Linked DNA regions of Xenopus tropicalis. The protein of the gene in region 1 binds, or shares a complex with, the protein of each later gene. Links are inferred from orthologs where the notes say so. Each region holds a gene or a part of one and is shown on either strand. Other genes may lie near its edges.

Evidence for each region. Proteins that work in one complex are often made in the same cells at the same time.
Region 2: the proteins of edar (region 1) and eda are in contact, whole or in part, in a crystal structure (PDB 7X9G), measured with the Homo sapiens proteins. The link is inferred for Xenopus tropicalis from reciprocal best matches to the Homo sapiens genes EDAR and EDA. Residues at the interface, in NP_071731.1 of Homo sapiens: Glu55, Pro56, Tyr57, Leu58, Lys78, Ile86, Arg88, Arg89, His90, Asp92, Glu94, Gly95, Phe97, Val134; in NP_001390.1 of Homo sapiens: Gln256, Ser258, Ala259, Gln261, Asp265, Asp273, Arg289, Tyr310, Tyr311, Lys340, Thr341, Tyr343, Ser370.

Annotation. Positions count from the first base shown.
Region 1 is NC_030678.2:109,233,089-109,236,743, forward strand, and holds part of edar (tumor necrosis factor receptor superfamily member EDAR precursor), read left to right. Parts: intron 1-510; coding exon 511-597; intron 598-1,183; coding exon 1,184-1,312; intron 1,313-1,756; coding exon 1,757-1,828; intron 1,829-2,602; coding exon 2,603-2,672; intron 2,673-3,302; coding exon 3,303-3,462; intron 3,463-3,655. UniProt on the Homo sapiens protein: Receptor for EDA isoform A1, but not for EDA isoform A2. Mediates the activation of NF-kappa-B and JNK. May promote caspase-independent cell death.
Region 2 is NC_030684.2:43,623,402-43,627,156, forward strand, and holds the start of eda (ectodysplasin-A), read left to right. Parts: upstream 1-1,202; 5' UTR 1,203-1,432; coding exon 1,433-1,732; intron 1,733-3,755. UniProt on the Homo sapiens protein: Cytokine which is involved in epithelial-mesenchymal signaling during morphogenesis of ectodermal organs. Functions as a ligand activating the DEATH-domain containing receptors EDAR and EDA2R. May also play a role in cell adhesion.

The sequences.
Region 1 (3,655 bases):
TTGACCAATTGGTTCCCTAGTGCAGCCAAAAAAGCAGTGCTATCCCTAGTGGTGTTAGTTTAATCTCTAACTGTTAACGTTCAACACAAGTCAAAGTGATCATAAGAAATCCCAGCTCTCATTAATACTCAAGTGATTAATATAAATAATCATATGATCAGTGTGTTTATTCGCAGTATGTTATGAAGCCTTTGGTTTTTCCCACACTGGGCGACAGACATATTTTTAGTTATTTAATATCAAAAAAATGTGTTATTAAAAAATAAATGCTAATTAAAACATGCCAAAATGTAGTTGTGTGTGATGTGAAAATGTACTGTAGCAATATAGCATTTATATTTATAGTGTCAGTTGACCTTTACCAAAAGCAGTTTGATTATGCCTTTTTAAAGATGGTGTTGATTTGAATTGGATTGCCTTTACTTGGTTTCATTTGTAACTGTCATATATTTGCTTGAAGTTTTCTATTTTTTAGTGCTGACCATAAAGTGATTTATGTCTCCACTACAGGTATTGGATTATCAGCCCCTATTTCTGGCAGTTCCACAAGTACAACCGGCTCAAGCACCATCTCCCCTTTCCAACATCCACACAAAGGTAAGAGCACATGTTAAAGATGATGGTAACTCTCTTTACTCAATGCCAAAAAACTACTGATGAAGTGGATGGTGGCATAGCGACTTACAGTGCCAGCCTGGATATTAATGGTCAACAAAACCCTTCCCTTGGTTAAGCTAACTTACAAAGCCTAGGGAAATGTAAGATTTGGGCCATTTATTACATTACCTAGTAGAAATGCAAATATCATGAAAACAAAAATGAAAAAAATATTAATGTAAATTGTGAAACATTAAGAAAAGCCCTCTGAACAAATTTAAGTTTTGTTGGTGGGTATATGTCCCCTTAAAGTAGAAAGTTACTATGTTGGCATTTAATGCTATGGCAAAGAGTTTTGAAATGTATTTTAAAGATGGAACTGCTCTGAAGTATTAGGGAAGTGGGTATATCCAATACACAGTTCAGCATATAGTATAATACAACCTTTTCTGTATGTTATTTATCATTGCCTTTCACAAGGCATAAGTAATGGAAGAAATGTACATTGTAGTATGGCTTCATAACAGGATTAGCTTGTTTGTTTATAAGGAGGACTGCCTAACTAACATGACTTTTGTCCCTTTAGTAGAAGTGTCTGGACAAGGACATTTGGCCACGGCTCTGATTATTGCAATGTCAACAATATTCATCATGGCCATAGCCATTGTTCTCATCATCATGTTCTACATTTTAAAGACCAAGCCTTCTTCTCAAGGTAATACTAACATGTATGGTGTTGGGGGAAACAGAGGACACAGGGGAATACTCAGTCAACCATAGTCCAACATAGGAGACTGTGTGGTCTGGACAAGTAGCATTAAAGGGAAGTATACCCCTTGAAAAGGAGAAGGAAAGCTACTGAGGCCTTTTATTGCCAAGATTGGTCATAATATTGCAAGCTAGAACACTATATTTATTCTGCAGAATGCTTTACAATACCTGAGTAATCATCAGAATATTAGGGAAGGGTATTCTGTCCCTCTTTACCATGCTGTATTCTATTAAAAGTAAACCACTTTTTAGTGAATTGCAAATAAATTGCCCCTACAGAAATAAGATACCAATTGCAAACAGAATACCTCATTTTCATTCGATGGGAATATTATATAAGATATTCTGTCATACTTATCAAGACCAAACGTTTGCCTTTCTTATACAGCATGTTGCACCGGCCCTTCAAAGAATGTGGAAGCTCAGATCAACCAACAGGAAGAGAAAAAGGAGGTGCCAGGTAAGGCCTGACCCACTCAGGAGTACTTATTACTTGATAGCAGGACATAAGCAGTAGCATTCACTTTCATTATAGTCACTCATGGTCACCTTTATATACTGTATATAATAATGACTGGGTGCTTGGATGTTGCTATTATATGTTGTGTCATAACTATACAAATCCAACAAACTGTAGCTGAAGTATAATTGATCTGTTGATTGTAGGCTACATTATTCTTTCTTATAGTTTTTGGATATAAAATGTGGTTCAACATCAACTCAACATCACATTTCTTATTGTTGTTTTACACCTGGGTATACAACAAACTGTAAATTAATCATACACCTCAGTACATACTGAACTTACTTTACTACCCCAGAGGTCCAACATATATAACAATAATGGTCTAGGCCTTCATAGCAGCTCTACATACCTGGTTAGGTTATCTTTTGAGTTTTGATAGTGCGGCATTTGAAATGGGCACTTAAGGAGGTCCTGAAACCTTTCATCCACACCTGTTGTGTCCAGAGCACCTTTAAGAAATGGTGCTCTGTACATGTCCTAAACTTACACTTGCCAAATAAGGTTCTCTCTCTGGGCAGATACATTAAAAAAATACAGTACATTACAAGTTAATTGAAAAAAATACATTAAAATATATTCTTGTACCTCTGTTTATATTCCATATATGTTGAACATTGTGTTTAGCCTTTATACTGTATACTATCATCCACAGGATCAAAGTAAGTTTTTTTTACATATTAATTAGTAATGTCATTACATGTTTTACAGCTGAAAATATCTTTTCTGAAAAAGATGAATTTGAAAAATTGTCCGAGACCCAGACTAAAACAGAAAAAAAGTAAGCAACTATGAACATATTCCATAGTAATTCCACTTTCCTTTCATTATAATGTGAGACCAGTTGCCTAGCAACAAGGGCAGTAGATTGAGCAACTGCTGCGGGCCTTGTGGTGTTGGGGACTGAGTGGGGATCAGTCTGATGTGCAGTCTGGTTGCAACTCCTTTTTAATAGGTGCAATATAATGGTGCCTCTTGATAAGCACAATAGTCTTTGAACGAAAGCAGCTAGCTGCCAAAAAAAGTAAGGTCAACCTTATGTGTAAATAAGGACTAACTTACAGTGCAGTGGGTAGAGTTATAATACAGGCTTTTAATTATGGCTACTTTCCAAAATACAAAATGTTTATAAACTTATATATTTGTATAAGTTCTGATTTACTAGAGAGTGTCTGTACTTTTTGTGTTTGTAATATATCTTCTAGCCCCTGCTACAATATTGTCTACTGGCAGGGTGTCAGAATTTCCCACCTGTACAGTGGGATGGGGCTTGAGACATAGCACTGTGTTCAGCCTCCAAGCCAAGTTGAGAGAGCACCAATGTCATTGCTAATGTATTAAGGGTATACAGAGCAAATCGAATTGGAACTATGGCAAAACTATACTAACATATGTATATATAATGTTTTAGTGAAAATGATGCCTCGTCAGAGAATGAGCGTCTTTTAAGCCGTAGCATGGACAGCGATGAAGAGGCAGCCATTGACAAACAAGGGAGCGCGGAGCTCTGCCTCTTATCATTAGTGCACCTGGCAAGGGACAAATCCACCACAAACAGCAAATTAACTGGGGTAAGATGCCAGTACTTATCTGACACTTAATGCATTGCATAAATAACTCCCTTACCTTTTAAGAGTTTCCCTTCTATGAACACTAGACCCCAGTATCCTGATTATGGCACTAAAAATACAGGCCTTACTGCTCATGCAAAGACACCTGACAGCCAAGGCATTTAGGTTGCTATATATATGGGCTTCTGTAGCT
Region 2 (3,755 bases), on another chromosome or scaffold:
CTTTTCATTTTTCAAATGTTGGGAGGTATGGCAGAGCACAGCATGCAGGGGAAGAGGTAAAATATAGCAGACATTTAAAAGGGGCCCTTATAAGTCTGGGAACCTTAGGCCTTGTTAATACGGCTAGAACTTCTAGTGGTACATTAATATTGTTTTGCTTTCAACTGATAAAAAATAGAAGGAAATAACATAGATTTATGTACCACTGGAATTGGCCCTGTTTATAACTTTGGCAAATGCACATAACTGTTGGCATGTCTGAAGTTGATATGCCCTTTATCAGTTTCATTTAGTAATTTTACTGGGATGTCTGGGGTTAATATGCCCTTTATCAATTTAATGTAGTCATACTGACACTTTTGAAGTTAATATGTCCTTTATTCTTTTTATTTAGTGATTATAATGGCACATCTGGGGCATGTAAAGAGGGTGTGGTATGTGGGGGCGTGGTCACAAAGCAGGCGTGGCCAAAAAAATTTCACCAACTACCCGCGTCACATATTTTTGTCCCTCTTTCTCTTAATGAAATGTTGGGAGGTATGCCCCGAGCTCGTAAATTTAACGAGTCAGGGGAGGAACGGTCGGGCAGAGGGAGCGCTGCAAGTGTCGGGTCTGGGCCGCTGGGGGCATTTATACTGATGTTGTAGAAGGGATGCATTAAGGCGACTTGGGGGCACATTGGGCTTCCAGAAGCTCTGTGTGTAAATGTATTTTTTTAATTTTACCAGCCCTTCCAGTAAAACAGGTGGCAATGCTACCTACAGGTCCAGTCACTTGCAGGCACCCTGTTTAGAAGCAAAAGTCTTATTGGTTGCTATGGGTTATTGCACCCAGGCATTTGGGGATATGTCTGCCAGCTGCAAGGACAGAGTAGTTTAGTAGTATGTACAGGCAACAACCATGCACCTTTTAAAAAGAATATTAATGCACAATGACAAATACGTTGTGGCACCACATAGTATTGTAAATTGTATAGCTTTACAGAATATAACCTGCGGCGTGTACTGTCATATATCATAACATCACTCAGCTGTCAAACATATTTTCACAACAGGGCGCTGAAGTTCCCTGCGTTTCCGACAGATGGCACCCTGCGCATGTGATCTTGGGGAGGAGTCGCTGAGATGAGACGCAGTGCATTTTGGGATAAGGCGCACTTTTATCTGGAAAAGAGTTCCCAGCTTTGCTTTGTTGTGGGCGGGGCGAGTAGGCGGGGCCAGTGTAAAATGCTGGGCTTAGGGGGGCGGTGGCTTTGAATGTTGGAGGCGTGTTTGTGGCAGAACTGGGCAGCTCGCCTGCTGTCCCGTCCCTCCCGCGTCTCCTCTCCGCCAGCATCTGTAGGGCTCGCCTCGGCCGCCACTCATGGCGCTCTAGTGGCTGCAGTTCCCCCCCACAGTCCCAGTGCGCCCTTGGGGCCGCTCCTTTCCCGAGCATGGCACCGCGGAGTTCCTCGGACAAGCGTGGCATGGACTCCTCTGACTCCTCCCTGCAGCAGCAGCCTGCATGTGCCTGTCCGAAACGTTGTGGGAGCTGCCGGCTCTTTCTGGGCTTTTTCGTCCTGTCATTGTCCTTACACCTGGTGACCATTTGCTGCTATCTGGAATTGCGCTCGGAGTTAAGACGGGAGCTGTCTAGGGGTTCGGGGACAAGTGAAGCTCCGGTAGGGACTTTGCAGCAGTGGAGGACTGCTTTGCGACTGGTTGACATGCAGCAGCCCAACGACCGGCGACAGGTACCTTCCACTCTTTCATTTAGTGGGAAGTCATTCAGAAATATTTACAGAAGTACAACTTTCAGCCCCTCCTACTCCACTTCTGGGAGTTGTAGTTTCACAACAGCACCAGGGGCCTCTGCAGGGAGAGATGTGCCTCAAGTTGCAATGGGATGTGTTTAGGGATGTGCAGCAACCTGTCACTCTTCAGCTGTTACATGAATGCTGTCAGTGCATGCCAGGGGGTGCTGGGGCATCACTTTAGATGATCAGTGTAGCGCTCCGGCAGGATTTCCAGTGGTGAGGATGCCCTGGAAGCTGGCCCATCTGGTACCCTTTGGGACATACAGAGGGGAGGACCACTGTCCTAGAGATGCTCACCTAAAACTGTCAATCATTATCTTCCTTATCAGGCAGCTAAATCAGTGCTTATCAGTTATGGGGATTCCAAGCTTACTAATGTGTGCTTTATCTGAACAATTCACTGCTACCTTCATTGTCTACAGGCATGTTAAAGAGATACATCCTACAGTGGTTAACTGCAACTTCCAGCACCTCTGGCACCCACTGACTGCTGCAGGATGTAAACCCAAAGCTATCAGTTTGCTTAATGAAAGAAAATGTCATTCTAAACAGCTTTCCAATATATCTAGTATAAATAAATTTGAAGCAACTGGACTTGTTTAGTAATCATTGAAGACGTTTCACTACTCATCCGAGCAGCTTCTTCAGTTCAGTTGAACTGAAGAAGCTGCTCGGATGAGTAGTGAAACGTCTTCAATGATTACTAAACAAGTCCAGTTGCTTCAAATTTATTTATACTAGATATACCATGACCTGGATGAATGAAAATCTTCATAGACAGCTTTCCAATATACCTTCATTCTAAACGTCAATGATTTCAAAGTTATTTGTAAAAGTAATACCAATAGAGATAGAGAGAATAGAAAGGGACTGCACTCTGTAGCAATTATACAATACATATATATTGGAGGGTTGCTTTGCATAACAAGTACCTTAATTAAGCAAAATTATATTTGGGTTTACATCCCCTTTAGCGCCTGTATCAGATGATACCATCATTCTGCTGTGTTGAGCCTATGTATGGTGTGCATTGGTGGCAAGCTCTTGTATGTATTTGCATAGCATGGAAAATATAATATATATAAGTGGTAGTGGACTGAGCAAACACCTTACTGTTGTAATGGAAAGAACAATCTCCTGTCCTTTGTTACAAGAGAGAAAAGTGGATTTAGTCTAGTAGAATGCAAACTTAGCCTTTTGCATCTGAATGGAACAAACCAAATGGAACTACATAAGTTTATTCTTCTTGCCATGTTAATATTTACTGCTAAATTGTATATTAGATTGGCCCCATTGCTGTTTGCTGTCCGTGAATTAATGGAACCCTGTTTGGTGTTGGTATAAGGGTATCACCTAGGATTGTAAATGCAGATGGTTTATTTACAGTAATGGCTGCCATGCATGCATTGGTATTGCCAACTGTGCTTGTATAGGCAGCTTTTAGAACATATTGTCCTACAATTCCATTAAATTGCAGTTGGTCTGTCCAGACTAAAAATGTGATGGTTCTTGTTAATGAACATGAGGCAGTGGCAGTTTTGGAAGTGAGATGGGACACAGCTCATTTAGTGAATCAGAGCCATTGGGCTATCCATGAATGCAGTAGATTTGGAAAAGAGTGGGACTGCGGCTCTGCCAAACAAATGAGCAGTTCTATTCAGCAAGCCACATGAGTTGAAGAATATTTGCCTGGACAACTTGATACATCTCTAAATTTTACTTTTGTATGGCCAACCAGTGAACTAATTCTCTGCCTTTTGTGGTCACCATTAGAACTGGCCCTCAGGCAGTTGTACTGGAATCACTGAACCGCAGCATGTCTCGCAATTATTTTTGTGTGACTGCCAATGGTTTGTGTGAATTTGCAGTTCAGTAGAAACCATTCATTTGCCCCCCAGCTACAGGGGCATTGTATTCAACTCTGTAGTGTTATTCTAAGTAATACCCAGAATCCACTACA